Linked DNA regions of Mus musculus. The protein of the gene in region 3 binds, or shares a complex with, the protein of the main gene of each other region. Links are inferred from orthologs where the notes say so. Each region holds a gene or a part of one and is shown on either strand. Other genes may lie near its edges. The genes, in order: Strada, Stk11 and Cab39.

Region 1 (4,464 bases), on a different chromosome or scaffold from region 3:
AAGAACAGTCCAAGAAATGTCAATCTAGGAAGGAATGGAGACAGGGAGGGGTAAAAATAGCCTAGAGAAAAGCAAGCTGTTTAGAAAACCCCTTTCCTGGAGTCTGTGGCAGTAGGAACACCAGGAACAGATAAGTGGCTAAGAATGAACTATGAAATAATAAATAATTATATCTTTAAAATATTAAAAAAAAAAAAAAAAGAATGAACTATGAAGCATGTACAGCCCAGCCCAGCCCAGGCTATCTAGTTCATTCTTTACCCTTGGAACTCTTTGCTTTAAGACAGGGTCTCCTACACACAAAGCCACTACGTAGCTGACAGTGATCTTGAACTTGATTCTGCCTCCATGCTCCTCATTGCTAGGATTACAGGCCTGCACCACCAAGTATGGCTGGGGACTATCTTTTACAAACTCTCCTAGATATGTGGTTGTGTAGTCCCTGACTGAAAACTGCAGAGACTTAATACCTTATCTGAGAGCCCATTCTACAGCTGATGTGTGTTTGTGTTTTTGAGTGTTCGGAAAATGATTAATATGCCACGGAGCCAATGCCAGAAAAGGAAAAGTTTGGAGGTAGAAGTGGCTTTAGTGGAGGGGTAGATTAAAATATTTATTCATTTAATGTATAAGAGTGTATAGTGGCTGGGCGTGGTGGTGCATGCCTTTCATCCCAGCACTCCGGAGGCAGAGGCAGGTGGATTTCTGAGTTCGAGGCCAGCCTGGTCTACAAAGTGAGTTCCAGGACAGCCAGGGCTATACAGAGAAACCCTGTCAAGGAACAACAACAAAAAAAGTGTATACTGAAGGCTTGCAGGAGGGGTGCACATCAGATGTCTTCCTCTGTTGATCTCTGCCAAGTTCAAGTTTAATGAAGGTTGACTAATGTTGAGGATTCTATCTTCCAAGAAGCAGGGATAGCAATTTGTGAGAAAAGTAGTACTTGATGTTTAAAAGGAGGTTAGAGATGGCTTGGTGGATTTAAAGATCACCAGCTAAGGCTGTAAAAGTGGCAGAAATCCACAGCTGAGAATGATAGCTCATGTGTGGATTCTCAGCCCTCAGTAGACAGAGACAGGAGGATCAGGAATTCAACATCACACTTGGCTACAGTCTCTTTTGAAAAAAAGAAGAGACAGAGTGTAGTCTATAGACTCCACTTCCCTTTTTGTCCCCAGTCTATTGTTGACACTCAGTACCCTCTATTACAGCAGCGCTCCCACTAACCACCTACATTCCTCACCTTAGCTTTTTCCCCTCAAGGCAAGGTTTCTCTGTGTAGCCTTGGCTGTCCAGGAACTCACTCTGTAGATGAGGCTGGCCTCGAACTCACAGAGATCCGCCTGCCTCTGCCTCCCGAGTGCTGGGATTAAAGGCATATACCATCATGCCTGGCTCTCACATTAACTATTACACTTACCAATGTGTGTATATGTATGTATATATGTGTATATATATGTATGTGCTTGTGTGTGTATGTATGTATATATTTATGTGTGTACCTGTTTCTATGCTTGGTGAAGCTAAAGGACATTGTGTATTCTACTCTATCACTCTGGACACAGGCTGACAGCCAGCAAGCTCTGGTGTTTCTCTTGTCACAGGCTCATGGCCACACATGGCTCTCTACATGAGTTCTGGAGACGGCAGCATATCTTCCTATCTACAGAGACACCTCTCCAACCACCCAACCATACTATCGCCTCATTATCTCTCCCACTACAACAGGTACCGATAGGAGAATTCACTTGTTCTGACAGACTTTTTTTTCTTCTATTTTTACCGCTGGTCCTCCAAACTTTATGTCGGAGGTCACAACTATAAACCCAGCCAAAAAATCTTCTAAGAAACCTAATTAAAGGGTGAAGAGAGTTGACCAGTTTCCGTACTATAACTAATGGTTAAACTATTAAGTTCCTGCACTACGGCAGAAGCAAGTTAGCAATTTTCTTTTTGGTAGTGTGGAGAATGGAAAGCAAGTCCGCACTGATGTTAATCAAGAACTCAGGCGCTGAGCCACGCCCACAGTCTCAAATTTGGTTAATCAACCCTCAAGGATCTGAGTCAGTCTCAGGTGTTGGGTACCTCCGGATAAGGTTATCAACTATCATGAAGACCCATCCAAACACTGGAACATAGTTCTACTTCAACGGGTATTTCAGTAAGACCGAGTCCAACCGTCTGGGAGAAAGGGGTCAAATTGAAGTACCTTAGGGTCTTAGCAGAAGACTGAGTTGAGAAGTTATCTATTTCCTAAAATTATGAACAATTTTATTTAGCCACTCCCCTTCTGTCATGCTCACTCTCCGCCACCATACTCGGTCCCCAAAACTGCTGGGACACTTAAGACAACACATTTAGAAACTCTTCGTTTTGACCAAAGCAGAGAATAGCTCTGATCTTGCTTCCGTATGAGAACTCAACCCCATTTGGAAGCCCCGGAAAAGGTGGGGAGGCCATGCGGTAGCTAGCCTCTCCGGTCCGGCAACTCTGCTCAGCATCTCCCCAGCCAGGCCCAAGCCTAATTTTGCTCTCAGGCTGTAACCTCAATGCGGGAACCCAGAACCCAGGTTAAATGAGGGCCAGAGGAGGGCGAGGGTGAGCCGGGATGGCCACTTGAGGCTCACCCCCGAGGACACGGACTCGGAGTCTGGCAAGAGGGATTATCCCTGGGAGCGCACCAGGCGGCTCCGCCACCGGGTACCTGGTCTAGGAGTCAGAGCGCAGTACCGACTCCGTCTCGGCTCCGCCTCCTCAGTTTTGTAGCCGCGCTGCCGCCAGGCCGGTTGCTGGGAGGGAGGTACGCAACGTGACATGCGCAGTGGAGGGACCCAGGGAGACTGGCCGAGCCTCGCCCCTCCCCTTCACGGAACAAGCCCCTCCTACTCCCGCCCCACGGAGGAAGTCCCGCCCCTCCCCTACGGAGAAGCCCTGCTTTGCCCCACCCAAGAAGGGAGCTCCGCCTCTTGCCTCCAGCAGAGGAAGTCCTGCCTTGCCCGGTTCTCAGAAGATGCTCCGCCTTACCCCCTGCCCACTAAGGACTCTGCTTCGTCTCGCCTCGCTTCACCCCACCCATCCCAGTGGAGGAAGCTCCGCTTTTCCCCAGAGAGAGCTTCTGCTTCCATCCCACGTTACCGTTACCGGACATGCTAGACCCGCAGTCGCTTCGTCAGGGAGAGAGTTATTAACTAGTCTTTTTTCCCCTTTGCTGAGGTCGTTCCTTATCTAGGACGAAGGCAGGTTTCCCCACGTATGTGGAAGCGAAAGACCTTGTCATTGTTGCAGTTCCAAAGGACCCTAGAGTCTCCCTCGAGTCTCTGTACCCCTCCTAACCCAGCAGCAAGAAAAGGGGCAAGGGCTAACTATAGCTATTGACTTGGCTACCAGGGGTATTCCCACCCCTCATCCCACACTCTGCGGTTCCCAAATCCCAGGTGCCATTTCACCTGGTAGGACTCCAATTGAAAAACAAGTCTTTCTTGGGTCAGTCTCAGGCAATAGAACAACAAAGAGGAAACTTACCCTTTGTGCCCAAAGTTCCTTCTCCTTAAAGCACAGAAAATAGCTCAACTAAACGAGAGCTATGGTTTGTTTTTTGTTGGGGTTTTTTTTTTTTTTTTTTTTGTCCCTAAGTGCTTCATAACTATTTTTTGGTAGTGAGGTATTTTTGAGATAGTGTCGCATGTAGTCTGGACTGGCCTTCAGATCAGCTTCCCTCTGCCTCTGCTGGGATGGGATTAAAGACTTGGTGGTATGTCCTCTATTAGCAGAAACCTGTGATGAGTTTGCCTTTATGAAAAAAGACAGCAGGGGCCAAACCATATAGGACTAATAAAATGAGGACTCCGTTTTATCATGAAGTGATTTTTAGTCACTTCAGTTACTGTGGAGTGAGGGCCCAATACATCTGTGTACATACTGTCAAGTAATGAATACTTGTTTTTTTTCCTGTCTCAGATTTATACCAGTCGACTAACTTCCAAGAATTTTAAGTTTGGCCACATCATACAGGAACTTGGAAACGCACACTACCCTCACCTGAAGATCTCAATGTTTTACACACAGCTGTAACCTTGCCTAGTGCGTTTAACATGCCAAATTTGTTCTCAGTCTCACCACATTTCATCATCAAACAAACATCACGAACTCACAAAAAGCAAGGGGACTGGAGGAAAATGCAGTTTCTGCCAGTTCACATGGTCTTTGGAATCCAGAATATTAGGGAAAGCAATACCTGAAAAGGTGTCAAGCTTCGGTTTTTATTTTTTCATATGTTGTGTGTGTACTTGTACTTGAATGTACTTGTGTGTGTGTGTATGTGCGCGCAGAAGCAGGCGGAGGAACTGGATGGGGTGACAGATAGTTGCCGGTGCTTGATCCTTTCCAAGAGCAGCAAATGCATCTTTCTGCTGACCCAGCTCTCCAGCCCCAAACTCTGAGACAGGGTCTCACATCTAGTCCAGG
Region 2 (4,321 bases), on a different chromosome or scaffold from region 3:
GCAAACCTGTGTGCTCAGGAGAGCAGCCAGTGCTCTTCACCCCTGACCTGTCCCTCCATCCAGCCTGACTCTGTTTGTCTAGTCTGTGTTTTCCCTGGATTTCTGTCTTCACGTCTGTTTCTCTGATCTTTTTTCTTAATTTATGTGCTTGCATAAGTCAGTTCTCTCCTCCTTTTAAGTCCTGAAGGCTGAACACATGTAGAGCAAGCACTTTTCCCACCTTTCCTGGAGTCTAGGTCTCTCCCTCCCCCAGGACTCTCCTGGCAGTACACCCCGCCCCCTAGTGGCCTCGGAGGGAACCATAGACTCACGGATCTATGGACCTTGTAACCGGCCTGTGCGTAAACTTGTGTGTAGAGGGAGTCAGGCAGGGTGAGCACTCGTCCCTCAATCATACTCCAACCCTTATTTTTTATTCGTGCAGTTAAAAAAGGGCACAGATAAAAATAATTAGATTAACCACCCAAAAACACTGCAGCAGGTGAGTTGAGGCCAGCGGCGACGTCTTACCCAGCCACCTTTTTTGATAACTGTTATTTAAAATTCTGTGTTGTGTGTGTGCGCGCGCGCGCCTACCACGGAGTCCCTAGGTTCAGAGACAGCCTGAGGGAGGCATTTCACTCTAGCCACCTTGTGAACTTACGGGGATCGAACTCATGAAGTCAGATTTGACGTCAATCGCCCGCAACCTCTGAGCCATCTCACCAGCCCAGCTGCTCTTATTTTGCACAGGAAACGCTCCTCTCTATGCCATGGATCTCAGAGGCGCTACATTAAGGCTTCAGGTTCGGGAGTGTCGACTTTGGGCTACTTTTTGACCTTTGACCCCTCCCCCAAGGCCGTTAAGAGCAAGCCTGGGCTGGATCTCTTTAGGGATCCACGAGCCTCTCTCTCCACCCTCCCCCATGCCTCCAGTCGCGGCCGTTCCCCGGAGGACGTTGACGCGCGTGAACTCTAACCGGAGGCCCGAAACTCCGAGGTCACCACAGCCAGCCCAGAGGTTTCGCTGGCCCGTCGCGCTTGCTGACGGGCGTCTGCGACAGCCACTGGCAAATAAAGTCCCGCCCCCACACACCAGGGCCAACCACTGAGGGGCGGGGCTTGAAGCCACAGCCCACGGCCGCTCCCTTACAGTCGCTTGCTTACTCCCATTGACGGGCGTCTCAGACAACCAATGAGAATTTAGATCACGCCTTCTCAGATGGAACCCGAACTGTCCAATGTCAGCTCGGGCGCCCACCTAGATCCAAATAGCCCAATCCTCGTTGGCGATTGAGGCGGGTCCGAAAGGTGGGGCCTAAAGCTACAGCCAACTGCCGCGCACGTCGGCTCCGCGAGGGGGCGTGTCCACCGTTGCGACGTGCGACGACGGCGCGGCGCAGGGCGGTAAACAAGATGGCGGCGGCGTGTCGGTCTAGGAAAGGGGAGGCGGCTCACGGCGTCCGCGAGTGAGGCGCGAGTCGCCGAGGGCGGCGCCGGCGTGGAGTTGTCTCTCGCGGGCAGCATCTTTCTGCCTGGAGTTCGATTCCCCCCTCGCCGCTCCGGCCTCCTGCCTGTCGCGCGGCGGCTAGGCGGCGAGGGGGACGCGCCGCCTGGGGTGGTTTTTTTCCCCCCTCGGTCCCCGGAAGATTTCCTGTCCGGATTTCGTGTCCGCGACTTGCGGGTGTCCCGGTGTCCCGCGTCCGGGTGGAGTCTGCGCCCCGAGAAGTCGTAGAACTAAGGGGCCGCGCGCGGCTTCGGCGCGGGCCGGACATGGACGGCGCGGACCGGCCTCGACGCGGCCGCCTGGGCCCCTGAGCGCGGGGCCCAAGTGGCGAACATGACCTAGCGGCCCGCGCGCCGCGACGGCGGACCGTCGCCTCCGTCGGAAGCAGCGTCCCCGGGGACCCGAATTGGGGGGACGCGAGGGTTGGGGGGGCTCATTGCTTTTTTTTTTTTCATTCTTATTTTCATTTTTTTTCTCCCTGAGCACCTAGAAGAAAAGGGGAAAATCAAAAGTGAAGAATTGGCGCCCAGGAAGCGGACGTGGACCCGGTTGTGGGGACCGGGAGAGTTGTGGAGGTCGTTCCTGTTTTTCCCCGTTCCTTTTTTCCCCTTCTTGGAACATTTGGAAGAAGCGGGTGGGGGGGGGGGAATTCGAACTTGAAAAGAATTGGCGCTCCCGAAGGGGACGAGGACAAAGAGTGGGCCAGGATGGACGTGGCGGACCCCGAGCCGTTGGGCCTTTTCTCCGAGGGCGAGCTGATGTCGGTGGGCATGGACACCTTCATCCACCGCATCGACTCCACCGAGGTAATCTACCAGCCGCGCCGCAAACGCGCCAAGCTCATCGGCAAGTACCTGATGGGGGACCTGCTCGGGGAGGGCTCGTACGGCAAGGTGAAGGAGGTGCTGGACTCCGAGACCTTATGCCGCAGGGCGGTCAAGATCCTCAAGAAGAAAAAGCTGCGCAGGATCCCCAATGGAGAGGCCAACGTCAAGAAGTAGGTGCCAAGGGCCTGGGGCCGACGCGGGCGCTGCCTTGAGCTCCTTGGGCAGCCCTTCCTCCTACTTTCTGGCTCTTCTCTTTCCTCTAACCGTTTTCTCTTCTCATTTCCTTCCTCCTTTTTCATCTCTTTCCTTTTACTGCCTTATCTACCCCATCTATCCCTGAGCGTCACCTCGTGGGGTCTGTATGTTAGGGCAGCCTGCAGGACTGTCCTAGCAGGAGGTCGTGCAGCCAACTGCGCCTCCAGCCCCCCTCTTTGGGCCAGGTCCTGGCGCAAGTCGCGCCTGGCTTCTTTGGCGGGCGTTGCCAGGCGGGTGGCTAGTTTGTTTACGCAGCTAGAGGGAACCGGTGGGGCCAAAAATAATGGTGAAGGGGGTGGGGGGGGTAGCCGGCCAGTGCTTGCGCAGGTCCCTGCGGTGTCGTGCGCGTAGTTGGCGTCGTTGGCCCGTGGGGACTCTTTATCGCCTGCTAGGCTTGGCGGAACTTGGAAAACTTCACCTACCGGCTTCCAAGAAGGGGCCTTATCTTTGGGACCAGCACTGGCCACACTCTGCCTAACTGACCTTGCCTCTGGTCCTGTCCCAGGAAAGGCTGGCAGCTTCTTGTTTTTGCCAGCTGGGCACTGCTTTGAGTGGTACGTACAGGAAAGGAAGGTGGACAGATATCCAGGATCAGATGTGTGGACCCAGGGGTGGAGCAGGGCAGGCTGGTGGCCTAGGCTCCTCTCAGGACCTCCTTGGCCTTTTTTGTAGGAGTGGTCTTAGGTCAGTCTTGCACTGGGGAACCTGGGCACCCAGCATCAGGTGTTCCTTCAGAGGCCTGAGCTTGGAAATTCCTGGCTTGAAATCATTGTCTCAAGGTGGAGGTGCCAGAGGTTGCTCACCTCCAGGTGGTGTCTGCTGGTCTCCAAGGCAAGTGGCTTCCTTTGGCTTCAGGGTAATGGTTCTTGGAAGCCCACCATGTCTGGGAGGCTGCCCAGGCCTGCATCCTGGCTTGGGTCAGCTGCAGTCCTTGTAACACATGGCAAGCCTGTGTGCTCTCTCTGCCTGTGACAGAGGGCCCCAGAGCTCTGTCTGCGACTTCCTAGCCCTCACCTGCTGCTTTAGGCTTCCTGCCATCTCAACACCCAGGTTGGGGTGTGGCTTGCAGAGCCAGGCAGGTTCAGCTGAGAGAGATTGGTCCCTAGATCCTGAAGTAAACCCCCCCCCCCATGAATTAGTGATGCTGGACACAGTCAACACTGGAGGTCATCAGGACTGGGGAGCTCCTACACACTAGGGTGATATAAGGAGCCTGCACGGTTCCTCAAGACAGGAGTTGGTCTGGGCAAGTAGACACATGCCTCTCATTGCAGTGCTGGAGAGACTGAGGAAGGAGGATTGCTTCTGTTTCTAGACCAGCTAGGAGTGCATGGGAAAACCTGGTTTTATAAGGGAAACTGGTTGGTAGGGTGAAGGCCCCAGGACCCACAAGGTGAAAGCAGACTCAGTTCTCACAAGTTTGCTCTGACTTCCATGTGTATGCTGTGGCACATGTATATACACACACAAGATAAAAACCAGGAGGAGAAACTGAGGCAAAAGCTGCAGACTGACACACTGCCCTGCAGTAAGGTGCTTGACTGGCAGGATACAAAGCCAGGTATCTCCATGGGAGTGCTGGTGTTCCCCACTTCCTGAGTGGCTCCTGCAGGGCAAAGCCTAGGGCTGCTGCACCTGCTTGTGTGATCCCCACTCAGCCACAGCCTGGAAGGGGCAGCTTGGCGGGCAACAGCTGGTGCGGGCAGAAAGGCTCCTTTGTCTGCAGGGGCTTAATAGACTGCACTCCTGTTGT
Region 3 (3,781 bases):
GCCTGCCTCTGCCTCCTGAGTGCTGGGATTAAAGGCGTGTGCCACCACTGCCCAGCAGAATTTTCTTGATTGAACGCAGCTGTCTACCTCTGCATGCAGCTGTAAGCTCCAGATCAAATGACCCTGCTGTAACGTGGCTGTAGTCACTTAGGAGTATCTGAAACTTCCATTGAGAAAGTTTGAAATGTTCACTTTTGCTGTCTTGAAAGAGAAATCATGTATGGCTTTTGTTTGTTTTGTTTTGTTTTGTTTTACAGGTATGAATCTCCAGAAATAGCTCTTAATTGTGGGATAATGTTAAGAGAATGCATCAGACATGAACCACTTGCAAAAATCATTTTGTGGTCAGAACAGTTTTATGACTTCTTCAGATATGTTGAAATGTCAACATTTGACATAGCTTCAGATGCATTTGCTACATTCAAGGTAACATTTAAAAACTGAAATTCTAAGCACACTTGCAAGTCAGATTGTTTCCCCATCTTTGTCTCCTCTACTCACACTGCCCTCTAGTGGAAATAGAGATGTGCTTTATACACATTTGTATGCCTCAGGTATTTGTAGTAAAACCACAAAAAAAATTGTAATGTAAAAAAATTAAATTCTCAAATCTTATCAGAAAAGCAAAAGTCCTGTAAGGTCAAAATTGCACTTTCCTGTTCAATTATTCACTAAGTGTGGCATAGATAATATACAGATTGTCCAACAAGCAGGCTTTCTCTTGTGATGAGGCACTCTGTAGTGCCTCCTTTGGCTGGCACTGGATGGGGTAATAGAATTGGCCTCTGCTCAGAGGCCATGGATTTTGGAATATATGTGTTATCAAATACAAGAACCACATTCAGGGTGGACAGCTATAAGTTGTTGAATTCTTGTTTAGTACATGTAGCTCACTCATACTCAGAAGCCATGAACACTAACACAGAATTGTCACTTTCCTTGTAAGAGCTCAGCTTCTTAATAAAGAGCCCCTGAGACAAGGGTGGCTCTGGGTAAAGTTCGTATGTAAGGGTAATGAATACGGTAGGACAGGAGGAAGGCCTGGGGACTGACAGTAAGGTTTCACCCTGACTAAGGCATTAATAGTACCAAGGATTTATTTTCCAAAATTAGTACAGCTTCTGCAGAAGCTTTAAGTAATTTCTCAGATAATGTGTGTACATGTCATGTATGAAGGAAGCAAACTGTAGTTAAGTGTCACCATGATGTCTCAAGCTCACCGCATTTGTGGGGTAAGACTCACGATTAGGATGCATCGATGGAAGGGAGTGCCCCATTCAGGAGCAGCAGCCCAGCATGAAGAGAGGTGTGGTATTGCCTTGTGTGAAAGAGGGCCCTTTGGCTGCACTTACTCAGATTGCCTGCAAGTATGATTCAGCCACAAAATTGAAGTGGCATCACCGTGAACAGATTCTGACATGCTAGTCTCCATCCATCCAGTTTCCGAGTGCCTGACTTGTTTCAAGCACTATTCTAGGGTCTGGGGATTCAGCAGTGGCCTGTACATAGAAGCCCTGTCCTTGTGGTACCTACTCAGGGGACATCAGCCTTTAACAAGCATGGTAGCAGGCTACAAGGTGGACATGCTCTTTGACAAGGAGGCTTAGATGCTTTCTCTGTTGGTAACTCCCTTGGAAGTAATTGTGTTCCTCTTTTGCATTGCAACCATTGATGCTTGAACTTTCCTTTCTGCCTGTGAAGGGGGTTGTAGCACCTGTCACATGCAGAGAGACCTTGTATGTGACATCCGCTGAGCAGCAGATGGTTACTGAAGGGTTCAGTAAAATGACTACTGCATCTCCAGAGAGGCCGAAACTTAATTCCAGCTTTTTTATTTCTCTTGTTTAACTCTCACAGTTAAGAGACTTGGGGGAACTGAGCAAAGTTTCTTGAACACCCTCTTTAATGAGGAAACACAGCACAAGCCCTGTGCAGCAGTGAACAGTGTGAATTCTTGGGGTGGGGTTAGAAGCTTTCTTAGACAGCATACCATGCAGAACATTGAGTATGATGCTTCCCCGAACACATCATCTAATTTTCCTCATCCATTCATTGATGTATTTATTAACACTAAGCCCTTGCTATGTACTAGGAAGAGTTTAGGTGCCAGAAATTCAAAAGTTGTAAATACCAGTGTGGTGTGGTCCTTGTGTTTATGGAACTGACAGTCTAATGAAGGAGAGAACTTACTAAATAATCCCACAAGCACATGTAGAATTACAACCATGACACATCAGGAAAAGTTTTCTGAGGAAGTGATGTTAAGTCAGAGTCTAAGGTCAGGAGTAGATGACTGGACAGACAAAAAGCTTCTGTGAGGGACATTTTTGGGAGGTGAGAGGCAGATCAACTCCCTGCATACCCAGATCTCAGTAATCTCCACAAAGGAGCTCAAGCTGGATTGGTGTCCATGTGTGTGACCTTGGGCCAGGGCCACCTGTAATGAGGCATAAACAGTTCTGACCAAGTGACACCAAGGTCATTTCATGGTCACTTTATGGTCCTGAGAAAAATTATGAAATATTAAGTAGCAACTGTGTGCTAATAGTTAACAACAGTTTATTAGGCAGTTTGGTGGATATTTTAGAATTCTCTTTCCTAAGAAAGCATTAATGGAGAGCAACTCTAAAAATACATGTTTTCTTCTTCTAGGATTTACTTACAAGACATAAATTGCTCAGTGCAGAATTTTTGGAACAACATTATGATAGAGTAAGTATGTGAAATATTTTAAATGATGTTTGTAATTTTTAACAAAAATTAACTTAAATGGAGATTTAAGTTAGATTTTACATCAGGATATTTGACTCTTTAGTATTTGTAAATAGTGCTATGATCACTTTACTGAAACAACATTGAGGACTACTAAGTCTGAAGCAAAATTTGACCTTGATTCATACATTGCCCTTTGCATCTTTTTTTTATTTATTTTAGAAGGGGGAAGTGGTCAGTTTTGCTCCTGAATGATAATCTAGTTAAGATGCAAAGAGAATTTAGTCTGACTTTTATACTTTTTCTTCCTTTTTCATCAGTTGCTGCACACAAGTAGAGAGAAAGAGGCAGCAGCTGATAGGATTTGAGCAGCGCTGGCCTAGTGGGCAGGACCCCAGCACTGCCCCTGCTTCGCTGCTTACTCCTTTGTGGCCATGGCCAAGGCACTCACTGCTTGGGGGCTTAGAAACCCTCCTTATTTGTAAAGTGAGGACATTGGACTAGCCATCGGTAAGGTTGCTTCCAGCTCTGTGTCAGTGTCAGTCAAACCCAGCAATGATGACCTCCAGAGAGCTGTCAGTGATCCCGGGTGCTTGATGACTTACTGCCCGTCAGCCACACAGCCACCCCAGGGCTACAGTGCCTGTGTTCACTCGTATACCTCTCCCTTCCTCTGGAGGGCTTCTCACAGTGCCACAGTAGGCCCCTATACACTACACTGTCCAGGCTCTGATAGGCACGTGTAGAGAACTTAGAATAATAACTTTCCACTTAAACTTCCCGTCCATGCTACAAGACTTGGCTTAATTTTTAATCCTTCCACTAGTAGTTTAAATCTTTGAAGTTTTAAATATTGTTGTATTTCATCATTTGCTTTCCTATCCCACTCCATTATAAGGTTCTGGAGGCAGAACCTGTGTTTCCTCCTCTCCTCGTATGTCCTTCTTGTTCCCCCTCTCCCAGCAGCAGCACAGCATGTGGCTAAGAAAGCAGCCTCATCAGTGGCTTAAACATTGACAGCACTTTATTTCCGCCATGAGTGTTTGGATGTGGGTGTTTCCTGTGTGTG

What was found.
Region 1: the proteins of Cab39 (region 3) and Strada are in contact, whole or in part, in a crystal structure (PDB 3GNI), measured with the Homo sapiens proteins. The link is inferred for Mus musculus from reciprocal best matches to the Homo sapiens genes CAB39 and STRADA. Residues at the interface, in NP_001124321.1 of Homo sapiens: Leu26, Glu27, Lys28, Gln29, Tyr55, Gly56, Thr57, Asn58, Ala85, Asp86, Gln88, Leu89, Phe92, Glu93, Lys96, Arg107, Glu138, Leu141, Ile145, Ser176, Thr177, Phe178, Asp179, Ser182, Asp183, Glu221, Asn222, Tyr223, Val224, Arg227; in NP_001003787.1 of Homo sapiens: Pro64, Leu104, Glu105, Cys107, Ser108, Asn109, Val112, Gln116, Leu119, His120, Lys123, Leu124, Phe125, Asn126, Thr136, Phe137, Ile138, Asp140, Asn141, Leu143, Tyr185, Met189, His223, Gly224, Arg226, Val426, Asp427, Asp428, Trp429, Glu430.
Region 2: the proteins of Cab39 (region 3) and Stk11 are in contact, whole or in part, in a crystal structure (PDB 2WTK), measured with the Homo sapiens proteins. The link is inferred for Mus musculus from reciprocal best matches to the Homo sapiens genes CAB39 and STK11. Residues at the interface, in NP_001124321.1 of Homo sapiens: Gln109, Gly111, Thr112, Lys196, Leu197, Leu238, Asp239, Arg240, His241, Phe243, Met246, Ile250, Val280, Ala283, Asn284, Pro285, Glu317, Gln318; in NP_000446.1 of Homo sapiens: Gln100, Arg103, Arg104, Glu165, His168, Ser169, Gly171, Leu201, His202, Pro203, Phe204, Ala205, Ala206, Asp207, Asp208, Phe234, Arg301, Ser307, Arg310, Lys311, Lys312.

The regions. Positions count from the first base shown.
Region 1 is NC_000077.6:106,190,762-106,195,225, forward strand, and holds the start of Strada (STE20-related kinase adapter protein alpha), read right to left. Parts: upstream 2,843-4,464; 5' UTR 2,705-2,842; intron 1-2,704. UniProt on the Homo sapiens protein: Pseudokinase which, in complex with CAB39/MO25 (CAB39/MO25alpha or CAB39L/MO25beta), binds to and activates STK11/LKB1.
Region 2 is NC_000076.6:80,114,425-80,118,745, forward strand, and holds the start of Stk11 (serine/threonine-protein kinase STK11), read left to right. Parts: upstream 1-1,370; 5' UTR 1,371-2,193; coding exon 2,194-2,483; intron 2,484-2,523; exon of another isoform or gene 2,524-3,163; coding exon of another isoform or gene 3,164-3,399; intron 3,400-4,321. UniProt on the Homo sapiens protein: Tumor suppressor serine/threonine-protein kinase that controls the activity of AMP-activated protein kinase (AMPK) family members, thereby playing a role in various processes such as cell metabolism, cell polarity, apoptosis and DNA damage response.
Region 3 is NC_000067.6:85,841,941-85,845,721, forward strand, and holds part of Cab39 (calcium-binding protein 39), read left to right. Parts: intron 1-257; coding exon 258-426; intron 427-2,652; coding exon 2,653-2,712; intron 2,713-3,781. UniProt on the Homo sapiens protein: Component of a complex that binds and activates STK11/LKB1. In the complex, required to stabilize the interaction between CAB39/MO25 (CAB39/MO25alpha or CAB39L/MO25beta) and STK11/LKB1.